Lytechinus pictus: one gene and its partners. The protein of the gene in region 1 purifies or fractionates together with the protein of each later gene. This does not show direct contact. Links are inferred from orthologs where the notes say so. Each region holds a gene or a part of one and is shown on either strand. Other genes may lie near its edges.

Region 1 (7,100 bases):
GCTGAAAATAATATGAAAAATGACTAAAAACTCACCGATTTTTCCACCTCCGGTGACCGTCACTACTCTTGGTTCGTTCAATGGTGTTTGATCGTGACAAATCGAAAAAGAAAAAAATATCACGAAGCCATAGAGGTTCATCCACCCCGATGGATGAAACACTACTCGTGATGCATTCTGGTAAACATGTCTCGATAGCCTCGACAGATTGGCAATTTTGTTTCGTCTAGATAAACATGTTTAAAGAATAAAAAAGTCCAAAAACTCCAAATGGCTATTTTGGGGGGCTTATCTATAATATTTCTAGTACTGTATCCAGAGCATCATTTGTCTGTTTTCCTCTTCCCTTACCCTTTCTTTCTTTTTTCTTTTGAGCGTAAATTAATTCTTTTGATTTTTTATTTCTTACTTTTTTTTCAGTCTTTGTTCTTTGGTTTTTTTTCTTCTTTATTTCTATTAAGGGGAACTCTCCCCTCCTCCTGAAATTTAAGGGGTATTGAATGTGTACCCCCCCCCTCCGCCGCCTGTGACAACAATAATTCTTGTGTAAAAAAAAAATAGTGAACAAAATATTGAGTGTCAGGCAGTGGCGTACCCAGGATTTTCCAAAGGGGGGGCAAATTCGTCCGCCAAAAAATTTGAAAAAAAAAAAAAAAAAAAAAAGGTCTTCAAGTTCAAAAGAGGGGGCCACTTGTGGCTCGTCACAGGGATCAGTTGTGACTCGTCAGGGGGGCAGGGGTACGTCCCTTGCATGAGTTGTGACTCGTCAGGGGGTGCAGTCTGCCCTCCCTGCCCCTTAGGTACGTTAGTGGTGTCTGGTGAGAAAAAGACTACAGTCCCCGGATCACGGAGCTTCCTATTATTATGCTTCACCGGAAACAGGTAGGAGCTTATTGTAACCAGCTCTGTGGTCGCCACTGTTCAGTGGCTAGCTTTCTTTTATTCAGCACAAGAGGGCGTGCTGAAATACTTACGTAGGAGACTATGGACCAGACGAGAATAAGGAAAAATTTCCTTATGATTTTACCCGATTTAGAAAGAAATCTTCAATTGAAGGACGATATTTGACTCATTGGGCATTGGAATCCTGTTTAAGTAGAACCAAAATCTGCATTTGGGTCAACACAAGAATTGGTAAGTCAGACTCTTTTACTTCGCGCGTTCCTACATTAGAAATGACAGTGTTAGCGGCACTGGTCTCAGATCAGTCCCACCCCGTACATTTTTCTGTATGGCGAATGGTCGGGGTGAACCAGTGAGCACATGCACCATTTCATTTTAGTTTTACAAAGTACCGTAAGTAACGGTGTATTAACCGCACCTTTTTCTCGGCGGGACAGAATCAAAAGTCGGGGGTGCGGTTTATACACGGTGACAGGTCTGAGCCAAGCCAATCTCAGCCCGATACCACTACCATTTTTCAACTCGCGTCGGGTGGCCGAGCGTAGCCGCTTGGGGCAATCCCGTTTAGAGGGGTATGAGCCGCGGGTATAAAAGGGAAGCAACTATGACTACCGGTATCTGCCGTAAATGTCCCTCAAAGTTATATCACGGTAACAAACGCACCTACCTTCATGAAACTGACTTATTTTAATGGTGTGACTCTGTCTTTGTTGTCATTTTTTAGTCATCGCGGCAAAGTTCAGACGCCAATCGATCGCACAGCGCGGTGCAGCTAGCCGAATAAGACATGCATGTGTAATGTTTATCGCAACGTCAACGTAAGCTGGCGCTTTACCTTTCTGTGGAAGTTATTTTGTTTGACAAATTATTGGTATTATTTGACAATTAATTTCTTTCATTTGCCTTTCCTTCATTTCTCTCTATCATCCATCATCTCAAAATCAATCTTCAATCCCCATCTTCACTCCTCCCGACTTTTTATTTTTAATTATTATTCACTTTATTCCCGCCCAGAGCTCCCATTGAAAATACGGTATACCGGTACTAGCATTTTTTTTCCTATTTTGCTGTCTGTAAGATACTGCCACACACGTACTGAGAACTACCGGTAGTGGTTCAAAGCAGACAAGAAAAACACCTGAACAAAATCGCAAATTTCTCGTATCTTGAACCTTCCCGTATTCCCTTGTCTAAAATTCATGTCAAGACATTGAATGCTAGACAGAATTCTGAAAGCAAAAGTGGGGCTGTGATGCAGGAAATATGATATGAACGATCTTCTCGTATGGGTGAGCCCCCATGTTGATGCTGGTATCGGTACTTGCAATGAACACCGGTACCATATGTGTGTGTGTGAGGTGACTCGGAGTGTGGAAGTGGCCAATAATATCGGCAACTTGCAGATAAGTGACGAAGCGCTGATTTCCCATCATTTTTTACCAGTAATTCTTCGAAAGTTCGATATTTTTTGGCTCTTGACTCTTTCTTAAATACGCATATTAGAGATAGAAAGTAAGTTTGATTAAATTTTTTTTTATGATTTTTTTTTTTTTTTTTTCCATCCGAAAATGGGGGGTGCGGTTAATACACGGGTGCGGTTAATACACCGTTACTTACGGTAATACAATACCGGTACTGAACTTCTGAAGCACAGGCTTTACTCAGTGAGTCAGTCACTGTGTCTTTTTTCCAATTTAAATTGCCAGTGCAGTGCCAAATTTAAATAAACTCACATATGAGAGGAAAAAATCCTGTCGAACCTGATGAAAAATGAAGTCCGCTCGTTTGCAACACTCCCCCCACACAACTTTGGCACAAGCTAAACTCAGTCAGACTCAGAGTCAGAGTCACAAAAATCACTTTACATCAGTCCCATAAACTGAAATTGGTGGGGTTCAACAAATTGCAATAAAGAAAATGAAGACTGGCTTTGAAATTGTTTGCAAATGATTTTAATCATCACAAAAAAATACATTATGTAAAGTCACGAATGATAAACCTAAAACGGAACATAATATTACCTCAATATGATCCCACTTGCTGTAATCAACCATTTTGTCAGAGCTTCAATACTTCTGATTCAGCTTCGATCAGATATGGACGGACGAATGTTCGGGAAATCGGCTGTATATCATCAACAGCTGGCGCTAGACCGCTTGCTCTCTCTGGCTTGCTTCAGACAGTGGTTTGTCTCCCGAGCTAGCCATATATCAAAGGTGAGTCCCGGGGATGAGTCATCGGAACTGGAGCCCCCCTCCCCCCTTCCCACACACACACCCACACACACATACTTTTTTTCAGTTTCCATGTACAAAATGTCAATATTACCATCGAATAGTGATTTTATCATTAATGTTATATATAAAGAAATCTTTAAAAAATCAATTTGATAGTTTCGGACAGCGATAGAAAGAGGGGCGCACAATCTACATGATAAAGTGGAAGGTATATGGTACACAGGTTATGAAGTTAAAATTCATAACACAAAACTCCCAACTCCTTGGTAACATTGCACATTTTAGCTCATACAATATAGCGAATGAAGTGCACTGGGTTTTTCTGAAGTTAGGTAATTTTTCACCCCCCCCCCCCTAAATTTGTTTAAGGACGTTCCACAGTTATGTTTGTGTGCATTATGATCTGCGCATATTTTACACTCCGCGCGCTGACGTCACAATGAATGAACAGGTGATTAATTAGCTGTGGGTATGAACTGAATTTTCTCATCATCTGCACTCTAACTGCAGATCCGATGCGTTAGTTTATGAAGCTAAAAAACCTTAATTATTCCATGGACCATTTAAAAAAAACATCTTTACAATTTTAAAATACTTTACTCTGCAGTGCTGCCAAAAATCACAAATATGACCCCGAGTTTAAATAAATGGTAGAGTGGTTTTGATTTTTTCTTCTCATAGATACAAAGCATTTGGCGCATTTTGGTGTTTTAAAAAGCACATTTGCTCTAATGAAAATGCTGATAGTTTGAAAACAAGCACATGAAGCCCTATTTTTTAATGTTTGCACCTCTTGGGTATACCTTCCTCTACAACTTTGCAAATTTTGGTGAAAATGACATGGATTTTGAATAAAGTGCAGCATTTATTGTACTTTTGTAGTTTGTTATTGAAATTTCACATTTTTAAGATTGGGTTTTTGTTATGTTTTACGCCATTTTTAAGAACTCACAGTGCTGTTAGACTTAAAATTGCAAACAAATAGCACTATAAATAGATTATCCATTCTAACGATACACTTATAAACTCTCTTGCGAAATTTGATGACTTTTTCATGTATTTTGACTGAGTAATAGAGGTTTAAACTCATTGTAGTGATCTTGCGAGGTCTAAAAATGCCAAATTCTTTTGAATGCGCAATCCGTAAGAACATTCATTCGGGTGAACTTTGAAGCTCCATAGCAAAAAATCAAGCACATGGACCTATGTTAATTTTTGCATATTTCGAATATTCAGGTTCTAAAGTATCTATGTGCAAAGTTTGGTGAAAATGACATGGATTTCATTTTAACTGTGGAACGTCCTTAAAGGGGAAGATCTATAACCTCTCGTCACATATACTTGAGCGTCAATCCATTGCACATCACTTATAAAGAGTGTGAACATGTTCCTTAGTTAGATACGCTTCATGTTTATGATAAAAAGACAACTTAGAATATTCCGTATTAATGTCTTAATATTAAAAAACATTCACACTCGCATTGAAAGGGGCGCGATTTTAGCGCTTGCCCCGGGCGCCGTTTGTCCAAGATACGCCACTGCAATGCTCACCTTCATGCAAGTATAGCTGCTTTTATGATTTACAAAAAAAAAATGGTTATATTTGACATCATATCACTTACGTATCACTTGAGGGGGGGGGGATCATTTGCTTTTGCTTGTCCCACTTTGTGGAATAGCCTTCCTGAAGACATAAAAAACGTACGTCTGTCGAGACTTTAAAAATCTTCTAAAAACTTTTTTTTAAACTCTTTGCTCTTTATGCGCCTTGAGCAATCTACAGAGTGGATTTGGCGCTTATTGTTATCATTATTATTATTATTAACATTATTATTATTATCATTACTATTATTATTATTATCATTATTATTATTATTATTACGTACAGATGGAGGCCTGGCTTGAGGGCCATAACCCCTCCCCAAAAACAATAAATAAATAATAATAATGATGATAAATTATAATCAATTGATGGAATAGAATTTATTTTTAAATGTAATTTGAAAATTTGTGGAATATGAATAAATGAATAAATAAATAAATAAATAAATAAATAAACAAACAAATAATCAAATTAATATTAATGAATAAATAAAATAAATAAAACAAAATAAGAGTTTGAAAAATATCACGACCAAGATAAAAGGGGGGAATAAAGCAAATGTAAGGGGAAATGATTAATAGATATATAGACCGAATCTTATATGTCATCAGTCTTCTCTCATTTGCATACCGACCAGGATGTGAATATAACTATTTTTTGAAATTTAACAAAGCTTTAAAATGTCATAACTTTCTTATTTTACATCCAATTTTGTTTGATTTTTCTCTTTTTATTCAAACCAACTTTGAACTTTGTGTGAAATTTTCCTTTTCCAATATTAAGCAATTAGGAAGAAATAAAAGGGTTGAAATTTTAATTAAATTAATCAAAATCATACTATTTACTCACCTGATTTTGCAGTTGTTTATCATGAAAATTGTCGATCACAAGCAAATTCAATAATTAAATTGGTGTATATTTTGCAGTTTTTGTATAAAAAAGGTCTAGCAATAACAAATTATGTGGGAATCCAATAAATGATTGATAAAAAAAAATCGTTTTGAGGTATCAAGTTCATGCAGCCACCACCCCCATCAGTTCAAATTCAAAAGCAGGAATTACAAATGGGGGGAACCGATTCAGCCGGATAAGACACAACACCATTTTAGAGGCCATATTGTTTATTTTTGCATAATAGTCGGCCTCTCAAAATCTAATCAGGATATATCTGCACCTGGGTAGGGGGGTCCCATGGGCACTCACGTACGGCAGTATAGGTTACTTATGTGCAGCCCTTAAGCCACCCCCCCCCCCTTCACGCCTGTTATATCAGTTCCCAATTATAATCCACTGTAACCTATTATACCCGCTCTCTCCCGTCCCCAAGCCCCTATAATTTCAGGGAAGCGTTTCATCAAGATTTTCATCCGACGAGTTGTCAGATCTGACATCTTTCTCTGATGTTGATTGGCTTATTTTTTTTATTTTTTTATTTTTTATTTATTTATTTATTTATTTATTTATTTATTTTTTTTTTTTTTTTTTTTTTACAAGTACGATAATACACCAACCCGGGGAGTGTTTCATCAACATTTTCATCCGACAAGTTGTCAGATCTGACATCTTTCTCTGATGTTGATTGGCTGAGAGGTACTGTTACTATGGTAACTGTCGGATAAAATGGGACTTGTCGGATAAAACGTCCGACAAGTCCTTTCATGAAACGCTCCCCTGGTGGACTGTACTTAAACGGATGATGATGATGATGATGAGGTACTGTTACTATGGTAACTGTCGGATAAAATGGGACTTGTCGGATAAAACGTCCGACAAGTCCTTTCATGAAACGCCCCCCTGAACTTGTCGGATAAAACGTCTGACAAGTTCTTTCATGAAACGGTCCCCATGCAGGCGTCAGTTTTCACAAATCAAGAGTATAAAGACCCTCATTTCATGTCAAATTCCAGATCCCATGGCCTTTGAACTTCGGTTGCCTTTTAAAAAAAAAGAAAAACCCTGTATAAATATTGTTTAATTCAAACAATAAAAAACAAAGGATCTAGTAAGTGAGGGACACCATCGAATCTCCCATTTGCACATCACTTAGTTGTTTTTCTATTCTCTGAAAAATACATATATGCGAAACTTAAAAATTTCATCCGATTTTGATGAAATTTTCAGCGTTGATATGCTTGTTTGATTTTCTCTATTCAAATCAACATTTTTTCTGGGGTGGATTTGACCTTTAAGGGCACTGTTTTGGATTTTGGGGCCGCAAACCTCCATCCTTTCCCATGCAGTCCAAGTGGCCCACTGGCATACAGATAGCTAGGGGTTTGGAGGCCATGCCCCACCGAAAAAAAAGTTTCACGACCAAGAAAAATAGAGGAAAAAGACAGAAAGGGAAAGGAAAAAGG
Region 2 (7,578 bases), on another chromosome or scaffold:
GAATATCAACGTTTCATGATTAAAGATGTATTTAGAATGCCTAGATTATAGGTCTAAATAAGAAACACGCGCGCATGTTTATATTTAAATCATTATCCAGTTTCACTAAAAAAAAATCACAAAAAAAAAAATTCTGCTCGCGCTTTGTGCTCGCATAATTATTGTAGGAAGACCCCCTATACTCATCCTTTTCATGATTTACAAAACATCAACAGAGTGGCCCATTTTTAGGTCTAAATCTCGATTTTTTTTTTGCTCGCACTTCGCGCTCGCAATAATTGTTAGATGATATAGCTATCCTGTTCACGACTACAAAAATTGATTAAAATTTTCCATTCTTTCTTTAGAAATTTCAAAAATTTTCAGCTCGCGCTTCGCGCTCGCATTTTTTGATTGTTAAAATATGTAATGCCTTCATGGCTAAGTGCAAGCAGTCCTTAAAGGTCAAGTCCACCTCTGAAAAATGTTGATTTGAATAAATAGAGAAAAATCAGACAAGCACAATGCTGAAAATTTCATCAAAATCGGATGTAAAATAAGAAAGTTATGACATTTCAAAGTTTCACTTATTTTTAACAAAATAGTTATATGAACGAGCCAGTTACATCCAAATGAGAGAGTCGGTGATGTCATTCACTCACTATATCTTTTGTTTTTTATTGTTTGAATTATACAATATTTCAATTTTTACGAATTTGATGATTAGGACCTCCCTGCCTGAAGCACAAAATATTAAAATAATGGAATTCCACGTGTTCAGGGAGGAATGAAACTTCATTTCACATGACAATGATGAGAAAATCAAAATATTTGATATAAAATACAAAAGAAATAGTGAGTGAGTGATGTCATCAGTTCCCTCACTGATTTGCATACCGACCGATATGTGCATATAACTGTACGTTTTCAACCGCGTAGCCAGGATTTCATTTTGGAGGGGGCGGTAAATGCACGCGAAGCGTGCCAACACTTACAGAGCGCGCGAAGCGCGCTCCCTAGGGGGTGGGTGCAGGGAGGGGGAGTTTCCCCCTCTCGCGCGAAGCGCGAAGCTTTTGGTGTTTCATAAATTAAAATGAAAAGGAACCGTCTCTCTTGTCTCTAGTACCTATATCAGCTCCAATTCAGTTGACTTTATTGTGATTTTGAACTTGTTTTTAAAAGTGATTGTGAACGCACAAAAAGGAATACAATGGAGGAAATTAAAATCATTATAACCCCGCGCGAAGCGCGGAAGCTAAAGCGTTTTATCAAATTTTTTTGCCATGAAAAGGGTCCCGAGAAAAGGGTATTCTCAAAGATATATTGAATACTTCCTTGGAAATATCAGATTTGATTACAAACAATTTAGCGACAGTGCATATCTTTAACTCGCAAAACAGAGGAGAAGAAGTGTATATGCCGGGAGGAAGATATTCCTCCCCGCGCAGAGCAATAAAACTCTGAAATTTCAAAGGGCGGACGTTTCATCAAATGCAGATATATCTAATACCCCATCGGCTCTAATTCAATTGATTTCCTAAGATTATTGAACTTCATTACAAGGAAAATAGTGCGCAAAAAGTTGAAACTTCTGTGATTTATTAAAATAATATAAAAAAGGATGCCTAATTTCTTTGACTTATCCTGAAGCGCTTCATTTTTAATTATAAAGAAACCTAAGTGTCATTCAAAATTTCAAACTGAGGGCGCAAAACAGGACAGGAGATGAATGTGCAGGGAAATAACATGAAGATTAATAGAATTTGAAAAAAAATATTGTACTTTTTTATTTAATACGACACGAATTTTATACATTCCTCTTCAATTAGGAACCTGTTTGCCCCAAATTATGGTTGTTTAGTAATGACCTGAAAAGCGGGAGAAGTTGACTTTACGGCAGAAATTGATATAAAGATTTTACCCGCCCGGAGCCGACCCGACCAGAAGTTGCGCGATCAATAAAAAAAAAGATAACTTCATATACTTCGGCCTAACCTTACTCTAATTCCATGCCCTAATCTATACATTTGAACTTTAACTGGCAAGAAACACATATAGCTGAGGTGGAAAAGCAGAGTTAGAGAAAGGGTGGGGGAAACAATGGAGAACTTCAATATTGTCATTTAACCGCGCGCAGCGCGGAAGCAAAATTCATATATAAATTTAAAGCAAGAGTGAAGGAGTTTCTCTTTTGAGAAAAAAAATAAAGAATAAAAAGAAAAAAAAACCGACAAAGCTACCTTTCTTCCCTTTCCTCCCTTCCCTTTTCCTTTTTTTCCTCTTTTTCCCTTTTTTTTCTTTTTGGGGACGTTTTTTTTTGGGGGGGCGACCGCCCCCACCGCCCCCCCCTGGCTACGCGCCTGACTGTTTTGTGAAATGAAGCGAAACTTTAAAATGTCATAACTTTCTTATTTTACATCCGATTTTGATGAAATTTTCAGTGTTATGCTTGTTGAATTTTTATCTTTTTATTCAAATCAAGTTTTTGTTGGGGTGGAATTGTCCTTTAACAGGTACTTTTTCAACAGGTACCAGTTCAAAACGTATAAAAAAAATTTCTGCTCGCGCATTGCGCTTGCATCATTAATACTAATCCTTTTCATGATTTACAAAACATGAATAGAGTGTCCCGTTAAGTAAATAGTATAGCTAGGACTAAATCTCGAAATTTTCCGCTCGCGCTTTGCGCTCGCATCAATTGTCTACTTATATCACTATTCTACTCGAGTTACAAAAAGTGCTTAGAATTTCCATTCTTTAGGTGAAAATGTAAAAAAAAATTCAGCTCGCGCTTCGCGCTCGCATTATTAGATTATTAAATGCTAAATGCAAGCAATCTTTAACTGGTATATTTTCCATCAGTTCATTTCTGCTCGCGCTTTGCGTTCGTAGTAATTATTTAGTTGCATACACATCTTTTTCAGGATAACAAACATTGCCCAGAATGTTCAAATTTTAGGAAAAATACATAAAATTTCAACAACAACAAAATTAGCTCGCGCTTCGCGCTCGCATCATATGAATAAGGATTATGATATTGTAAATTAATTTATAAGAATAAAGCTAAGAGGTGAATAATGAGGACTACCCCTTCAAAGACACAAACAAAAATCATCTTCGAGCTGCCGATCGGGGAAAAATATGGCTGAAACAAATTTCCGCCCCCCTATTGGCGAAGGCTGGATCCGCACCTGCGTCCCCCTATACCTTTTGGGAGAGATTTCCGCCCCTGTCATCATCATCATCGTTGTATGACATCGTTGCTTGAATTGGATCATAAAGAAATGATGAGAATCGGGGAATGCTTTCCCGCTTTGCAGGGGCCTGCATGGGAATTATAAGACTAAAGTTCACCCTGATTTGCTTGAAAAGAAAGAAAGAAACCCAAAAAAGAAAGATAGGCCTATATAGATAGAAAGAAAAAAATAAAGATAGAAAAAGAAAGATAGAAAAAGAAAAAAAAGGAAGGAAGGAAGGAGGAAGGAAGGAAGGAAGGAAGGAAGGAAGGAAGGAAGAAAGAAAGAAAGCCGAGGTTCATTTCACCCGAAAAGGATTATTTTGTCTGGGGGAAAAAAAAAAGTTTACTAACTGAGATCGAAGAAAAAGGGTTTTAGATCATAACTTTACATTTTAGCCGACCAAGCTAATTTCCAAGGGGTGCTGCGTTTGATGTGTAACACCTTTTAGTATATCCGCTTGCAGCAATACCATAAAATCATAGTTCTTGAGGTCAGCCAGTAATAGGCCCTACTATCTCACAGGGGCGGATCCAGGAGTTTTCAAAGGGGCCGGGGGGGGGCACATTTTCCCTCAAATTAAAAAAAGTTAAACAAAATAAAGGTATTCACTGTCAAATGGGGGGGGGGGCACATCTTTTTAACGGCAATTTTACATTAAAAATCCCTCTCAAGGAGGGGGGGGGGTGAATTGCCCCCTGGATCCGCCAGTGATATACGGTTTTTCAAATCCAAACATAAAGGATTACAACGGGGATTACAATAATGTAATGCACAATTTTTTTTTACAAATTATCGAACATAAGTTACAATGATAAGTTAACATTTCTAACAATAAACAGAGTCACAAATTAAACAAAACCAAAACAAAAGGAGAAACATGACAAAACAAATCAAATGCAGGAAACTTCAACTACATGCTGTCAGAAACCGTTTCATCAGATAATATAACGAGGATGATATTTATTAGCAATGTGGAACACGGGGGGGGGGGCTTCTTTTTTTTGGAGCAAGAAAAGAAAATGACCCTTTTATTAGATTGAAAGTCATTGATTAATCAATGACTTTTATGCACATTCAAATAATTCGGGCTATAAGTAAATAAAATTATTTTTCTCTGATAAATTTTTCCAGTGGTCGTGGAACTTTTTGGAGATGATAAAAAACATCTGTTTATTGCCCACTCCGCTTATTCGTAATATCTACATCTAATTTGAACTTTCGGAAGCCAGTTGTGCATGCACCCCCCTCCCCGAGATAACGGATTAATTCCGCCCCAGGAACAGATTTAGGCATCCTCACGATCACAGAACCTTATCCGCCAATTTACATTTTTTTTTGCTACACTCTCGAACAATAGATGGCGCTTTATCACGAGATTCATCAATCAATCGAATCGTTTTCTCTTGTTGCGTTGCTGTCCCTTATTGGCTTTGCTGTCGCGTACGCTTGGGTAAGATCTTTGATTTGATTTGATTTTAAAAATGTAGGAAGACCTAGGTTGATATGACTATTTCACAATAAGTTATGTTGTGATTACTGATGATTGTGAAAGAAAAGACCGTGGCTTTTTTTTTAAATTAAAAACACTCAACCGACACTGAAATTGAATTGATGGGACCAGAGGCATGAGAGGCAGGACTGATGCACTCACACAGTCACAGTCACTCTAGGCGACACCCCAATACTTACCCGTGCTAATAAACTGGGACTCCACTCACGCGCGTTTGGGCCTCCCTAGCTTAGAACTAAGCACTAATATCACCTTAAAAACTAAATCTACAAGGTATGTATAATCTATTTACAAATTTAATAATGTTTAATCGGTACTCACCGGTTCTTTTGTTGCATTTTCAGACCATTTCTCACAATTCTTCGTAAATATTTGCGGCAAATTTTGTCGCCATAGACAGCTTAGCGTCCATCTTTATTGATAAATGGAGCGCCCTTTACGATAGTTGTTAATGCCGCGGAGAAATCGTTAGGCATTTTGGCCTGTGTTCAAGGCGTTCTTTCTGTTTTATTTTTTATATTGAAGATTGTGCATTTGTTGAATAGCGCCGTCTACGTCAGGTATGAGATCGAGTGTATAAATACACTCTTCCAAAATAATTATGATTCCGACCTGGCGCTGTTTAACTTCAATCTCTTTCACCTAAATTAGCGATGAATGCTAGCATTATAAAATATATATTATTAACGTCTGACGAAAAGAATAACCAACCGATCAGCTGACGAGAACGCGAATCACGTGATCTTCATATCAGCTTCGATCGCGAGTCAGAAGAAAAGAGCAGCTGCCCAGAAAATCAGGAAAAAGCCGTGAAAATGTAAGTTCCCCTTCATTTCTTTCATTTTTTGTTGTTGCTAACGATGCATTTACACTATAAAATTATAATTTAAATAAGAGAAAGGAATTATAGCTTGTACTTGTGATATAATGTTTAAATATCCTGTTCTCAGAGATTTCTAACCAAAAATACTACTGATGTCGCCTATGAGGTCCATACATGTAATGTTGGACCTCATTGGTACTAGGAGTGGTCACAGTCACACACGTATTGCGACTTGCGAGGTTACTAACCTCGCACCATGAACCGCGTTTGGCAGTGGATTTCTAACTAGTGGGTCGGGCGTGCTGAGCCTGGGACGGTGGGACCCCACTTCATAGACCCGTAACACAAAGCTTAGCAATGATCGTAGACGTAGAACATTTTCCTACGATTGATTCCATCGACTACAATGTCAATCACTCAATGTATCTGGGGAGGCGCGATAGCTCAGTCGGTAGAGCGGGGGTTTCGGATTCCGGTGACCCGGGTTCGATTCCCAAGTGGTGCGCTAGTGCCCTTTGGTAAGGCATTTATCCTCATTACCAGGTCCCTCGGAGAGGACCTTAAGCCGTTGGTCCACTGGTTGCTTGCTCACAGGCATTCGTGCTTTCTTAGCAGTCAGGTATAACCTCGGTATAACTAGGGACTACAACATAACATAATCATATTCGTAAAATTAAAATCAAGTGTACGATCAATCGCTAACTGAAAGTTTTGTGTTTCGGGCCGGGGGGGGGGGGGGCACTCGACCAAAAAAGTGGTAGGGGTGTGCCGCGGGCGAGACAAAAAACGGGGGCCTTGGAGCGGGCTTATTGTAAAAAGGAGGGTCCTCGGAACGGGCTTCGGAACTACAAATGTTTGTGAAAACGGGGGTCCTTGGAACGGATCGCCAGCGTGTGAGTGCGTATGCATCCCTGTGGAACGGGCATGCGTGCATGATGCAGCTAGCACGGCCTCCGCCGGGTGCGCTTGCGCAGAGGCGATGGTCGGACAGCGCTCTGCGGCCGCTTTTCACCAAAATTGCAGCTCCTTGTAGCAGATCAATGCGACGGGAACGGCGTAACGAAAAATATGCGAAGCTTTGGAGCGGATTTCTTTCTTCTTTTTTCTCAATAAGAAGAAAATGCTATGCTTTGGAGCGGCTTTCTTTGTTCTTTTTCTCAAGAAGACAAAAATGCTATGCCTTGGAACGGAAATTTGAGTGTAAAAATGGGGGTCCCCTCTGCGGCACATACCCACTATGCATTATATAGGCCTACTGAGTGCCCCCCCCCCGGGTTACGGGACCCTGGTGTCCACCACACACGACAACTATAGCTTGATTTTTCTGTGCGCGGCGGCATGTAATGAACCCTTGGGTGGGACTGATAAGCTGAGCTTAACGTTAGAAATATATTTCTTGGGAAAAAACCTCAGCCAGTCATTTTCAGATTGAAAAAAAAAATGGTGCCCCATGTCTGCGCACCCATTCACTTCACTGTTCACACACGATTCAGGGATTTTGGCAAGAGTTCCATATCATATCAGTACAGTAGAGGCGCTGGTCCAAAAATTGGGATTGTCCCAGAAAACAAAGATATCCTCATTAACCAGGAGAAATCATGTCTTGATAAACTGAGATTGTCCTTGTTTATGGGGACAGTTTTTTTTTCACTTACGCCTGCGGGACATAGACGGCAAGTACGGGGATGGAGAGGGCTAAAATTAGATTCAGTGACCTCAGTTCCCTCCAGTTCACCGTCTATTTTTCACGACTTGCCGTCTTCCAATCTTGTAATGAAACCTGATATGTTTACATTGACTAGCGCACTCAATTGATGTTGGCACTCGACCACTCACAAGTTTTGCGAGGTTAGTATTAGTATACTAACACTCGACAGGTGAATGAACTTTCATAGATTTCTTGTGTGGAGAAATCTTTGAGGTAAGAGTTCCATATGCACATGCACCTAGCCTGGAGGCTCCTGGAGAGTAAAAATAAGTCTACTACATGTATACGTAGGCTTACTCCCCTGGAGCCTGGAATTGCT
Region 3 (7,086 bases), on another chromosome or scaffold:
CATCAAAGGCAACACTGAAATTGGAGAAGAGTGTCTGTGTCAGAGGGTCAACAGATGCCAGTGGTTGGAATCAAAGGCAACACTGGACTTGAAGAAGAGTATCCGTATCTTAGTGTCAAGAGATACCACTGGTTAGTGTCAAAGGCAACACTGAACGTGGAGGACAGTGGCTGCATCTTAGTGTCAAGAGAATGCCAGTGGTTGGTATCGAATTCAACTCAACTAGGAGTTGAATGTTCTCATCTCTTTTTGAGAATATGCAAGTTTAACCCCTAAGCATGATTCATATTATGAGCTGTGAGAAGAATGTCCATATCCTAGTGTCTGATAAGGTACCTTACTGAGAGAGAAGATATCTGATTATCTTGGGTGTCTTCTGGGGAGCGTTTCATGAAAGGACTTGTCGGACATTTTATCCGACAAGTACTGTTTTATCCGACAGCTACTATGGTAACAGTGACTCTCATCCAATCATTATCAAGGAAAGTTGTCAGATCTGACAACTTGTCGGACGAAAATGTTGATGAAACGCCCCCCAGATCCTGGTTTTGTTTGGGGGTGGTCAGGTGCCACGTAATTGCTGTAATATATCAGGTAAATAATGTTTTTTTCAGATTCAGGTATTTTCTCATTGTCTCACCTGCATAGCAGAAGTGAGAGCAGTGCCGGTTTTCATGATGAGGGCAGCATCATTAATTTACTTCAAATTCAGTTAATATTTTCTCCTGATGGTGCACACTGGACACTCCCATTAAGGTTTGTGCACAGTGCGGCACATATCGAAAAAAAATCTTCTTTGCACTGCATGTCCAATAACACTTGTAGTTCTGCGTGTTTCTTATATCAAGTTGGCTTCCCACAAGAAAGGACTTAGTGGTTATTTTTATGATTGTATTTTTTTATTATTCCCTTTTTTGATTTGATGATATTTTGAGTGATACTTGAAATTTAGAATCAACCTTTACATCATTGGATAGCCTACAATGTGCTCTTTCAATATTTGAAATAAAAAAAAATCGTGAAAATTACCCCAAGTCCCTTTCTTGCGGGAGCCAGCAATAATGTTTCCTCCTTATTTAAAAAAAATATCAAATCCAATTATTTTTTTGTATTCCTTGAATCTTGTATGAAGATAATTGTGTCAAGTTCATGCTGCCACTTTGAGAATTCATAATTTTGTATGAATATGTTATCAAATTTCAGGATTTAAATTCAATTATTTCCATTGCCAGGATGCTTTTCTAAATGACCCACTTTTCTATTACTGCATAAATTTGTAAAATTGAAAGGAATATAAAAAAGTTTCAAGCCCAATGAAAGAGGCTTTTGGTCCAATCAGCAGGACCATGGCAATAGTTATCTTAGATTAATTCAATAATTTATATTCAAAGAGTAAATTAAAGTGAGAGCGGAGAGAGTGTATGATATTTTAATATCACAAAATCAACACTGCTGCTATACTTGAATTGTGTAATGCAAGTGAGACTGCCCGGGATGAATCACTTGCTTTTCAGGAAATGCTCATGAAATTTAGCACACACATTTTTTGGCAATGAAAGAATAAAATTTCATGGTTATATTTTGTTGTTGCCGAGAATATTTTGTTGATCTTAGTGATTGCACACTGAATAAAGACTAGTCTTCCTCATGTTTCAAATAAGTTTATCATAATAGAAAATAATAATTGACGATATTTATGGAGCTTATTTATTGTTAAATATTTCATTTTAAAGATCTCGATTGTTGCAAATGAAAATGTGCTGGTAATCTATTATACATTTGATATTTTCCTTTTGAACATTGTAAGAATAATGTAATATGGTTTGCCAAAGATTAAACCATGTAATCAAACATGGTTGCTATGTACACTAATTATCCTAGGAAGAAAAGTGAACGACACATGCTGCATGATATGAGTACAGTTTAATGTGTTTTATATTTATAACATTTTCAATATATTGAAATGCATGAAAAATACAATTTTGTGAGCTTGAAGATAAGCAAAGTAACTAAATGGACATCACGTTACCCATGGTAAAAAATAGTTGGGGGTTCACACCTAGATGTTTTATTATTTTCTTTCGAAATGGGTATTTTACTTCAATTTTGGTACTCTGATTTTAAAATATTTCTGTGACAGCGAACATTTCCAGATTGCCTTGACAGTGGTAGTTGAAGTTCCATCTTTTTCATCAGTTTTAAAACTGATTAAATTATCAGTTACTCTGATTATATGCTTATTTTTAGTACTGTAATATAAATTCAGTATAATGAATTTTGATGGAAAGATATATGGCATTTCATAAAACATGCATTCTATTTTCTCACAATACTTATTGCAATATACCAAAGTAAATGGTGTCAAAAGGAGAAAACCAATTTTGTATATTTTTTTTTGTGAGAAAACAATGAAGTCAGTGACAATGAAATGATTAAATCACAATAAAGTACACCTTATTGGTATTTGAATGATACATCAATTGGGTTTTATGACTGCTGGGTCCCGTCTTACAAAGAGTTGTGATTCATCCGATCAACCTTAATTCATCCGATCAACCTTAATTATATAGAAATCCATCAATATCATAATTGTTCCCACTAGAAATTTGCACAATGTCCTTTTGTAAACGAAGAGGGGCATACTGAATCGCCAAGAAAACAACGGGCCCCAAGTTGCCCCAAGTTGCGATTGATTGCAACTTTTTCTGCGATTGATTACAACTCTTTCTGCAATTGATTGCAACTCTTTCAGGGGCCCGTTGCAGAAATAGTTGCAATCAATCGCAACTCTAAAATCATGCGCAACTTGATTTTCAACCAATCAACAGCGCGCATTTGGGACTTGTGATTGATTTTTGGACTTGCGTTTAAACGCAACTCTTTCTGCAACGGACCCCAGGGTCACCATTGTTGTATAGATATGTTTTTTTTTTATAGCACATGTTTCCCTTCCATTGCCCATTGAACAGACCAACTCTGAATCTGTCCAAATGCATCGGATATCATTTCTTTACTATCAAAATTAATTCAGGGAATCATTATTTCTATGTTTTTGATTGAAATTTCTTGGGGTTTATTGTAAAAAGTTATATAAAGATTGAAATTCCTAAAACATTAATGAACAAATGTGATTTAATGACTTTACGTATTTCATGTTTTTAATGTTTGTTGCTTGTAATGTGCTTAGTGTGCAAGTGAACCAACTACAGTTTTGAGAACAATAATGTTAAGTGATGTATTGCCCTCAAAACTAATGTCGTTATTGTTAACTATCACCAACTTTTTTTTTTTTCATTAAGATATTAGAAATTTAATTTCCCTTTTTTTAATTGCACCCTGTTCAATAATAAATGAAGTATTGCAATATGTTAATTTAAGTCTGTTATGCTGCATACAGTTTTTGTTTGTCCTGTGAAGTATTTAGCATTTTCTGTAACTATTTTTGGTTTCCTGATTTCATAACAAGTTTGGAAAATTATTTTCACTTTTATGAGCGAGAGAATGGAGGAGAGGGGAATGAGAAAGAGAAAGGAAAAAGAAAGAATTAAATTTAAGAAAAAGAAAGAATTAAATTTAAGAAAATGGAGGAGATGAAGGAGAAGAACAATGAGAGAAGATGAAGTGGTGAATGAATATGAGGAAGAAGAATAAGATGAGAAAAAAACTATGTATAGCTAGTGGAAGAGAAGAGTTTAGTTTTTAAACAAGCAGGATAAGGAGAAGATAAAAGGAAAGGATGAAAGAGGACAGAAAAGTGTAGGGGTGTAAGTTAGAAACGTGGATGGCAATATTCAAAGGGGGGGCAGTTCCAGAGGCTATATATTATGTTTACCAAAAAGGAAAAAAAGAACCTTCAAATCAAAGTTGTTATCCATTGTTTACTCCATCATGCAGTCACTTCACTCCATAAATTTTCTAAAATGTATGAGCAAAAGAAAAACTTTGCTTGTCTATACTTAAACTGTTAATCAACATTACACCTGAACTCATAAAAGATTCTCATCTCTTCACAACCATAAAATTGCTTCACAACCTTTTCATTTCTGATTGTCCGTCGAAGATACCGTACTCCAATTTAGAAAAATACGGAAAAATACATGGAGAGATTTCACGTGGATGAAGATGGCAGGTACCGGTGATTCATCGAAAATAAATGCGATTCCTGACATAATAGTAGACAAGCCAGAGATCAGTGATGTCGACAGAGAAAAAGCAGAGGCTCTCAAAGATAAAGCTAATACATTTTTCAAAGGTAAATCATGCAATTTCTTGAACTTTAAAAGTGCAATTGAGAGGAATGAACGTTGCTGTGAAGGGAAGTGCCATTAAACTGTTGATATATCATGTATATAGGAACCGGTACCGTACGGCTCCTATACCAACGCGTGCGATTTCTTACGCACGTAAGCGAGTACGAGATATCACGTTTCCATGTAGGCATCAGAAATCCGTCTGTTTGGAGGAATTTTAAATATGTTTTTTTTCACATTTAAAATATCTCCTACTAGAAGAACACCCAACAAATAGAAACTGGAGCTTCTAGTCTAGTTTGCTTGATAATAATGTCTTTTATGATACAAATTTCTCAGCTGGCTGTTTCGAGGAGAATTTGACATTTTTTAATTTTTGATTTCCCCTCAAACTCGGCTTGCAATCGTGCAGCCTCCATTAGGGGGTTAACAATACAAAACCGCCCTAATGGGCTCTTCAATTTTTTTTTTCTTTATTAAAAAAAATTAAGCCAAGAGAATGAAAGTTTTAGATTTGCATCCACCGCCCGCATGAAAATTTCATTATTTCAAAAAAATTTAATTATTTCAAAAAAAATTCATTACTTACTCTCCATCACTTACTCTCCATCACGAAATTACAAGCAGATCACTTCATGACTACGTTGTCGCCAAAATAATTCCTTCGGACTGCGTGCGAAAGTATCGATAGTGATAACGATATCCGGTCACATTGTCTACGCAGGAAATGGTCTTGGTTCGTGATCGGATCGCTCCAGTATCGATCAAAAATTATCGAGACTCGGCAATTTCATGCATATTCACGCGACGCTCCGAAACCCGGAAATCAATTGACTTTGTACACGTTGCGATAGACTCTACAAACTCCAACGAACACGATGCCATATCGACGCTAATTCGTAAGATTTTGACCGAAAAGCAAGAAGTAATCAAAATTCACTTACCTGTGCGGTATTGGTGAGAAAATAGATCCTCCAAGAATACCTTTCATAATTCATATATAATATAGGAAAGTGAAATTCTAGGTTGATTTTGGTACAAGGTGATAGAGAATTGCACACTTGTTTTGGTGGAATACTGTGTGGGGCTATGGAAGGCTTGCAATGCGCATGCTTACTATATTTTCATTCATAAATTGGCTCTCGGCAGTGGCTGGATGACGTCATGTAATAAGCAAAATGTACACGCCTGCTAGCGTTGAACGCACCGCTATCCGTTCTATACAATTTGCCACTGTACAGTAATGTTTACATACACTATATGCAAGTAGATAGCAAGAATATCGTCAAAAGTAGGTACTAGAAGTAAATAATGAATAATGAAAAAAAGCCTCATGTCATTTGAAAAATTTTCGGACGCAAATCTAATACCTTACTACTCATGGCCTTAAAATAAAAACTCGGGCCTGGGCTAAGCTTTACCCCGGGAAATTGGTGGGGCTCAGGCTAAGCCTCAGCTTCCTTATGAAAGCAAGAGTAGATGTTGAAAAGGGATGATTTTCAAGAAGAATCTGTTTATCACATTTCCATTTTCTGCCAAGGTAACCCTTTTGCAGGAAATGTAAATAAAGGAAATAGGCCTCCAAAACTGGAGACTGTCTCTGCTCTGAAATTGGATACCCAAATTCTTGACAAAAGTCTCTGATATTGGAGATAATCTCCAACATGGGAGACAGTCTCCCATATTGGCTGTGTGCCTCTGACTAAAACGCGAATATGTAATTTGCACCAACTTTGAAGGTGTTGTTCGAGTGCTCAAGTCGAACAATTATGAGATGCACTAAAATAGCCTAAATGACACTAAATACACATTGATATACGAATACAATAAATGAGTAGACTCACCGTAAGTGATATCCCACGATGAATCCAATGACAACAATAAATACAGCACAAATCAGCAATAATCTGGCATAAAAGTGACAACAGCAATAGTATAGTTCAACGTTTAGGTTTGGTTCCGTACATCTGAAGGGGTCTCCAAAAATGGTGTCGCCGTCTCCAACCTCGGTCACGTGATGCCAAATCCTGGCTCTCGATTGGTCATCTCCAGCAGAGTTGCACCCGGCACTCGATCTGGGTCCACCATGAGGCAACCAGCAGCAGATGACAACAGTTCAGTAGTTGGAAACGCCAAAGTTGGCCTGGCTGTTTCCACTACAAAGGAAGCCCATTCGGGCTGGAATCCCCCAATATTACACAGTGATGTGCGACTCGAGTCTGTTTATGCCGGATTCAGTCTCGGACTCAAACTCGAGGCATGTGACTCGGCAACGAGACCGGGTTATTTCCCCAAAATTTCACATAATAATTTCAAACATCACTCATACAACAAGGCGCGACAAACCCTCTTGCCTGCTTCAGTCAGAAGATCCATCACTCTCTGAAGACCAATCTGCTGTTCGTTTGGTAGAGACTCTACTTCCAGAGGGCTGGACAAATGGCCGTCTTGATGCAATACCTGTAAGAAACCAACGTTGCACAGCAGCCTGTGGATCGAATTTTGATGGTGTTGGACTTTCTGATGATATCCTTAATACTTCTGTAATGATTGAAGTGCTGAGACTTAGTCTCCAGTCCTCCTGGCACCTCTTGATGGTTGAGAATTGCCTCTCCACCTGAGATGTCGATGTCGGCAGGACTAGCAGTATTCTTATGACTTGGCACAAGTTGCGGGATACATCTTCCTGGTAAACAAGAACATTCTTCCACAGATGGTGGAACTTCTCTTTCTGCGAGGGCTGGAAAATTTGCTGTTTGAGATTCATCCACTCAACCTCAACAAGGTCTACGTCACAGCCCTTTGCCATCAAGAAGGGTCTAAAGTGATCACACAA
Region 4 (7,703 bases), about 960 kb from region 1:
TTTATATAGATGCATAAATTTTCTTTCTGTATAAAACACGTACAGATATTTTAACTGTTTAAATTTAGAAATCGTCTTTTTTATTTTATTCGACGTGCTTTTAAAGCTGCAGCTGTAATTCAATGATTTTTTTTATGTAACGCATAGTTTAACTTTATTTCTTTATCTAGTGAAGAAATTATGCATCTATTGATCTGACATCGATTTATGTTACGCCTTCCATTTGGCGTGATTTTTAATGTACAATAGAGTTTGATTTATGTAGATGCATACATTTTCTTTCTGTATAAAACACGTACAGATATTATAACTGTTTAAATTTAGAAATCGTCTTTTTTATTTTATTCGACGTGCTTTTAAAGCTGCAGCTGCAGTTCAATACTTTTTTTAATATGTAACGCGTAGTTTAACTGTATTTCTTAGTGAAGAAATTATGCATCTATCGATCTGACATCGATTTATGTTACGCCTTCCATTTGGCGTGATTTTTAATGTACAATAGAGTTTGATTTATGTAGATGCATACATTTTCTTTCTGTATAAAACACGTACAGATATTATAACTGTTTAAATTTAGAAATCGTCTTTTTTATTTTATTCGACGTGCTTTTAAAGCTGCAGCTGCAGTTCAATACTTTTTTTTATATGTAACGCGTAGTTTAACTGTATTTCTTAGTGAAGAAATTATGCATCTATTGATCTGACATCGATTTATGTTACGCCTGTATATATATATATATATATATATACATACATTTTCAGGGGTTGCGGAACAAGTTTGAAAGTTGGGGGAGCTGACCATGCAAAACAACACAATCAGATGATCATTTTTACGTTTTTGTCAACGGTTTTAGAAAAAAAGTGGGGGAGGGAGGGGGGCTTAATCCCACCCAGCCCAGCGCCCCCCCCCCCTATTCCACAGCTCCTGATTTTCAGGTGTTTTTGGACGTGCTTTTAAATAATATGGATAAAAGATAACACTTTCTGTCTGAAACACGTTCAGTCCTGTTTAATCATTTGAGAACGATTCAAGAAATGAAACAGTTGGGGTGTTGATTTTTCCCCCTCTTCGCTGTTTCAACCAAAGTGATTTCAGATTCACATTGTATACAAACACATGTATGAGTGTATTAAAGAACATGTGGTTTTTATTTCATGTGTACAGCTACCATCACACCAACGAAACCGACTCCAAACGGACCGATTTTATGTTATTGTAATCGATGTACAGGCCACACCTGACGATTGGTCCGCGACCCGATTTTGGAACAAAACGTAGTAGAATTTGATGCTTATATTGAGACATAGAATATGATCGTACTGTGATTAAATGTTCTAAATCATCGTACGAATACCTATGTTCAAATATGTGACTATGCTATCATCCCTATTATAGAATAAAAGCGGATTTAATATATTGTAATGACATCATAGCAATTGCACGATTTGAAACTAATTTGGACTTTACTCATTTTACTCAAAAATAAAGGCTTTCAATCATACAAATTTGTTATATTAATGTTCTCACAGTTAATCTGAACCTCAAATAAAAATATAAAATGAGCAAAATGCGATTTGTTCCAAAATGGGACCGTGGACGTGCGGTGGTCTAAATAGATTGTGTTAGTCTTGAGTCGGTATCACTGTGTGACTGTCACATGGATGTGTCTCAGATTCAATTTCATAGTTATTGTACATAATCATGCTATGTATGTTTTTTTTTATGTATAGATCTGTGTTTATGAAGAAAAATGTATATGTGGTTTGACTGTAACATTGATGTGTCTCAGATTTTATTTCAAAGTTATTATACATACATGTATGCTGTGTTTTTAAAATGTATAGATCAAGTGGTGTGACGGTGTGACTGTCACATTGATGTGTCTCAGATTCCATTTCAGAGTTATTGAACACGATGCTGTGTGTTTTTTTTAATGTATGGATCTATGTTTATGAAGGAAAGTGTACATTTGGTTTGACTGTTACGTTGATGAGCCTCAGATTCTATTTCAAAGTTGCTATACATAATTATGCTGTTTTTTTTTAATGTATGCATCTATGTTTATGAAGAAAAATGTACATGTAGTGTGACTATATGACATTGATGGGCCTTAGATTCTTTTTCAAAGTTATACATATGCTGTGTTTTTAAAATGTATGGATCAAGTGATGTGACGGACATTGATGTGTCTCAGATTCCATTTCAAAGTACATACATTTATGCTGTGTGTGTTTTTTCAAATGTTTATGAAGAAAAATGTACATGTGGTGTGACTGTTTCATTGATGTGCCTTAGATTCCATTTCAGAGTTATTGTACATAATCATGCTGTGTGTTTTTTTTAATGTATAGATCCATGTTTATGAAGAAAAATGTACATGTGGTTTGACTGTGAAATTGATGTGCCTCAGATTCTATTTCAAAGTTATTATACATATGCTGTGTTTTTAAATGTATAGATCAAGTGATGTGACTGACTGTGACATTGATGTGCCTCAGATTCCATTTCAAAGTTATTGTACATAATTATGCTGTTTTTTTTTAATGTTTATGAAGAAAAATGTACATGTGGTGTGAGTATGACATTGATGGGCCTTAGATTATTTTTTCAAAGTTATTATACATATATTGTGTTTTTAAATGTATAGATCAAGTAGTGTGATTGTGACATATTGATGTGTCCCCGGGGGGGGGGGCACTCGACCAAAAAAGTGGTGGGGGTGTGCCGCGGGCGAGACAAAAAACGGGGGCCTTGGAGCGGGCTTATTGTAAAAAGGAGGGTCCTCGGAACGGGCTTCGGAACTACAAATGTTTGTGAAAACGGGGGTCCTTGGAACGGGTCGCCTGCGTGCGAGTGCGTATGCATCCCTATGGAACGTGCATGCAGCTGGGCTTCGGCACTACTGACGGGCGCGCTAGCGCAGAGGCGATGGTCAGACAGCGAGCTGCGGCCGCAAAATTGCAACCGGAACGGCGTAACGGAAAATATGCGAAGCCCTGGAGCGGATTTTTTTCTTCTTTTTTTCTCGTGAAGAAGAAAATGCTATGCTTTGGAGCGGCTTTCTTTGTTCTTTTTCTCAATAAGACACAAATGCTATGCCTCGGAACGGAAATTTGAGTGTAAAAATGGGGGTCCCCTCCGCGGCACATACCCACTATGCATTATATACTGAGTGCCCCCCCCCCGGGGATGTGTCTCAGATTCCATTTTAAAGTTATTGTACATAATCATGCTGTGTGTTTTTTTTTTATGTAAAGATCTATGTTTATGAATGAAATGTACATGTGTTCAATATATTAAAACTTTTTTATATGGTCATTTGTTATGTTCATGTTTCATTTTGTAGGTTGGTCATCACCCCTTAAAACACCCCCCCCCCCCCCGTCGTTCCCTCTAGATACGCTTTCTATTCTGTGAAGTCCAAGGCATTCAAAGTGGAATTCCTGTGGATGGGGTAGATTGAAGGGCCCTTGGGGCAGATCCTGTCGAGATCGGGGTTAGTGTTTAACTTGTTCACAAGACTGACAAATACTTAATTTCAGATGTTTCTTTCCAATTTTTGATGCAAACCTTCGGGCGTCTAGATACACAAAGGGGAGTTTTATCGTCATCGAAAATGCGAATTAAAGGGTCTTTTTTTACAAAATTTTATTCGTTTTCATGATTTTTCGCGGCCCAATATAAAAAAATCGTGCGTTTCAATGTGACATCCAACTTTATGAAACAAACCTCGTGATTTCAATTCACTTCATTCATTTCTACAATCAAACTTTAATAGCAAATCACTGACCAGAAAAAGATAATTATTTCAAATCCCGATAAAATGGGTATTTATTTTATTTATCAATTGTTTTTAATTTTTTTTATCCCCATTTCGGTATTTACATCACTCCTCAATAATCATGATATCGTCATCCTACAAGTCGGATCTGACAACTTTTTTTTATTTTGATTGAGGTACAATCATTGGGGGATCCAGGGGGAGGGCACATCTGGCTCGTGCCCCCCCCCCCCCCCCCCCCATTTTGAGAGCCATAATCAATATTTTGTAATATAAATATGCCGTTTTTACCCAAGTGTGCCCCCCTTTGAAAGTGAGGACTTTTTTTTTGCTTATCAAGTTTTTATCGGGAAAATGTGCCCCCCCCCCCCCCCCTTTGGAAAATCCTGGACCCGCCCCTTCGTACAACTTGCCTAGCTGGCTCTATAGTGGTCACTGTTAGTTAATCATACAAAACACTCGACAAGTTCTTTCATGAAACGTTGCACTAAATGAATGTGTAGAAAATAAAACATCACCGAGAGGGGGTGCTAAAATTAACTGATAGAATGGCCAAACATTTATTTTCGGAAAGAAATTGTAAAAATGTTTGAATCGAGCTTTCGGTAAGAGTGACGTCACAGTGGAAGACAGGACAATGTGTATCAGACCATAAAGATGCAATGATAAATAACGGTTTGGTGCACAAATTAATGTTCATTGTTTGTCCCCAACATAACCTATGTAATATTATTGACATATCTCTACCTAAATTAACGATAATTTATATTGATGTCATCAGGTGGGGGGGGGGGGGGCACCAACAAAAGTCGGAGGTCAAATCAATAAAATGAACATTTTTTTTTTACAAATTATGGCCTTCTGTATAACATTACCACGCAAGGCACGTAGCTGCGGCGCGGACAATCATTTCTGTAGCACAGTCTAAATTGCGGAAGTAATCTGCTCACTACCGTATCGACGCAACTTCAGTGGGCGTTGAAAGCTACACCGTTTACAAGGTAAAATGTTATTTCTTTGTTATTAAGTTGCCTTATAAATATTCGATACGATATCCTGTTATATTTTGCAGTTATTTAAGATGAAATATTGTTCACTGTGTGTGTTTTGAACGAGTAGAATGATATTAGATGTGCAGGTACGTACTTCCTCATTACACCAAAAATAGTACGTGGGACTGCAATATAGAGTCTGCTATGAAATAGATCAATTTATTTAGTAACATTTTTGTTGCAGGTCTAAATGTAGATTTACGTGTTATATTTAGTTATTTTGGTGGTAGTAGACCGGTTCATCATGTTGTTCGCCTGTAAACATACGAATTTTCAGTAGATCTAGACTAGCCTACAACGATAAAGTCGATAGTGATCTGTCTTGTCTGATGATTAATATTAGTCTTTTTATCACGAAGGCTAAGTAATGTTAGACTAAGTTAGAGATACGTGGAATATTATAATAAAAAGCTGTGTGTCAAAGTTTGTAAACAAAGATGGATTTCCCTAGGGTTGGGCTGGCTGTCGCAAAATAATCTATGGAGGCAGCGTAGCTCAGTCGGTTATTAGAGCGCATATTTCGGATAAGAATTTTAAGATCGTAGATCTCAAGGTGAGGGGTTCGAGTCCCGCTCGTGCCGAAACGCGTCTAACAAAAACAAGTCTGATGCTATAGCGTTGTGTGTTAGCGTGCCTCACCACTGTATTCAGTGCAGGTTTGAAACTTTGAATACAGATGGAAAAACACTCCGTCCATCGGAAAGGACGCAAATGTTGGTCCCGTGTATACTATCTATAGCCTAGGAGAGGTACAACCTATGGCTATGCACGTTAAAACCAATACACTATTCATCAAAGAGTAGGGTGTTCACCCGGTGTATTGCACCTGCCGGTCCCGGCAAAATCCAGGTCAAGTACCCGATACGTTTATGCCCAGGAGGGCCCTGCATCGTATACATCCAGATCCAAAAGGAACTCTTAAAAACTGAATGATCACATTCTTTTCTTTTTGTTTTGCTATTATTCTGTAGATTCTATGCATTTACATAGATTATTTTTCTCATTTTCCACTTTTATTTCATCATTGATTACTTCTTCATCATCTTTTTTTTTCTTCCTTGCTCTTTTAAAAGAAAAGGTAAAATAGAGAAAATTTGGAACTGACCCAAGATGTGGAGGTCCCAAGTAGGAAACAATGTGAATGTCGCACAGGAAGAGGATGACGATTGGGAAACTGATCCAGATTTCGTGGTGAGTAATAAGCCTTATCTGTTGACTACTGAATTGTTTCCTTCTTAATCTTCTTCTTCTTCTTCTTCTGGAAACGGTACAGTCCACCGTCTGGTGTATTGTCGTACTGGTGAAGTGCAGCGTGCAAGTGTATGTACATTATTCAATAAAAAACTGCTTACAGCGTGCAAGTAAAAACAATCACTACCACCACCTCTCTCTCTCTCGTTTCAGTTCCTCCGCTGTTCTGAGATCAGCAGGTATCACTGCAAAAGTTGAATCAATGAGTCTGGTTCCCATATTGAAAGGGAACTTCACACTGATAATAGATTGATGTTACTGAAGGCAGAGAAATCAGAAAACAATATAGTATTTATTGTTTAAGGTTTGATGGAAATATGTCAAGGAGTTATGAAGTTTTTATTAAAGTTTTTATTTTGTAATGTCACAGACGAGCAGCTCCTCCATATATGTTGTGTGATAAATTCCCCAAATGCCATTTTCAAAAAAATGTATTGTTACCTGTGCAGGTGAATATTTCACATCCATTCTAATGTATGAGGAAAGTAATTTGTATTCATCATGTTCAATTCCAAAATTGGAATTTATGGAATTTGTATTCCAGACATATGGAGAAGCTGCTTGTATATGATGTCACAAATGTAAAACTTAAAAAAAATATTACTCTTCTTCTTCCATGGATTTTCATCAAACCTTCTCTAACATATTTCTTTAATAATCTTCAGGATGAACTACCATGATGTTACTAGAGTAATAATACTTCTGGTGTAAAATGATGAAAAAATATTGTAGTACTTGAAATTATTTAGAAAAATGATAAAGATTATAATAATAAAAGCAATAATACCGGTAGTGATTGTAATGATAGTTTGGAATGATGATGCAGATGAAAAATGATTATAGTAGGCATATTGATAATAATTATAAAGTAATGTTTATAGTTGATTTAATAATTATTAGTATGATGATAATGATAATAATGATTATTATATCAATATAAATCATATATATACATTGTACTTGTATTTAATTTATATTTTTTGTAGAACGATGTGAGTGAAAAAGAACAGAGATGGGGGTCCAAATCTGTTGAAGGATCAGGAAGGCAAGGGTCTCTCAAGTAAGTAAGGTTTCCTTTGTTCCTCTTCTTTTCTGTTTTCTTCATCTTCTACTTCATCTTTTTTTTCTTTTCATTTTTGTTTTGATCTTCTCTCTTTCTCTATAAATTTCTTCTTCTCTGTATCATTTTCCTTGCCTCTTTTTTGTTGTCTTCTCTCCTCTTTCTCTTTGTCCTCCTCTTCTCTCTCCAACTTTAATTTCATCATCTAATTTTTTTGTAACTCTCACTCTTCTAAAAAATATTTTCTCCATGTTTTCCTGTATCAGCTTGCTGAAATTTAGAAAAAAAACATGAATGCTTGCAATATAATATATTCATCTTTTATCTATAATTGAATACTTTCAAATTAAAATTTTACATCAGTATCAATGAGCTGAGAGAGAATGTGAAGCAAGACGATGCCAAGACAAAGGAAAAGGAACAGGCCACTGCTCCCAAAGCTTCGTACGGATATGGAGGGAAGTTTGGCGTTCAGCAGGACAGGATGGATAAGGTATGGGACTAAGGGTTAAATTTGCTATGATATATAAACCTTAGGGAATGCATAAAGCTGGTTAT

The links.
Region 2: the proteins of hsp90 co-chaperone Cdc37-like (region 1) and cyclin-dependent kinase 11B-like purify together in Homo sapiens (affinity purification with mass spectrometry; 4 studies listed by BioGRID and IntAct, with this or other methods). This does not show direct contact. The link is inferred for Lytechinus pictus from reciprocal best matches to the Homo sapiens genes CDC37 and CDK11B.
Region 3: the proteins of hsp90 co-chaperone Cdc37-like (region 1) and serine/threonine-protein phosphatase 5-like purify together in Homo sapiens (affinity purification with mass spectrometry; 4 studies listed by BioGRID and IntAct, with this or other methods). This does not show direct contact. The link is inferred for Lytechinus pictus from reciprocal best matches to the Homo sapiens genes CDC37 and PPP5C.
Region 4: the proteins of hsp90 co-chaperone Cdc37-like (region 1) and src substrate cortactin-like purify together in Homo sapiens (affinity purification with mass spectrometry; 3 studies listed by BioGRID and IntAct, with this or other methods). This does not show direct contact. The link is inferred for Lytechinus pictus from reciprocal best matches to the Homo sapiens genes CDC37 and CTTN.

What each region holds. Positions count from the first base shown.
Region 1 is NC_087263.1:6,062,377-6,069,476, reverse strand, and holds the start of hsp90 co-chaperone Cdc37-like, read right to left. Parts: upstream 3,026-7,100; 5' UTR 2,958-3,025; coding exon 2,925-2,957; intron 1-2,924. UniProt on the Homo sapiens protein: Co-chaperone that binds to numerous kinases and promotes their interaction with the Hsp90 complex, resulting in stabilization and promotion of their activity. Inhibits HSP90AA1 ATPase activity.
Region 2 is NC_087258.1:23,329,613-23,337,190, reverse strand, and holds the start of cyclin-dependent kinase 11B-like, read left to right. Parts: upstream 1-4,573; 5' UTR 4,574-4,668; intron 4,669-4,881; exon of another isoform or gene 4,882-5,001; intron 5,002-7,578. UniProt on the Homo sapiens protein: Plays multiple roles in cell cycle progression, cytokinesis and apoptosis. Involved in pre-mRNA splicing in a kinase activity-dependent manner. Isoform 7 may act as a negative regulator of normal cell cycle progression.
Region 3 is NC_087251.1:45,944,089-45,951,174, forward strand, and holds the start of serine/threonine-protein phosphatase 5-like, read left to right. Parts: upstream 1-4,071; 5' UTR 4,072-4,116; coding exon 4,117-4,252; intron 4,253-7,086. UniProt on the Homo sapiens protein: Serine/threonine-protein phosphatase that dephosphorylates a myriad of proteins involved in different signaling pathways including the kinases CSNK1E, ASK1/MAP3K5, PRKDC and RAF1, the nuclear receptors NR3C1, PPARG, ESR1 and ESR2, SMAD proteins and TAU/MAPT.
Region 4 is NC_087263.1:7,026,325-7,034,027, forward strand, and holds the start of src substrate cortactin-like, read left to right. Parts: upstream 1-4,693; 5' UTR 4,694-4,783; intron 4,784-5,907; exon of another isoform or gene 5,908-5,912; 5' UTR 5,913-5,944; coding exon 5,945-6,025; intron 6,026-7,071; coding exon 7,072-7,145; intron 7,146-7,508; coding exon 7,509-7,638; intron 7,639-7,703.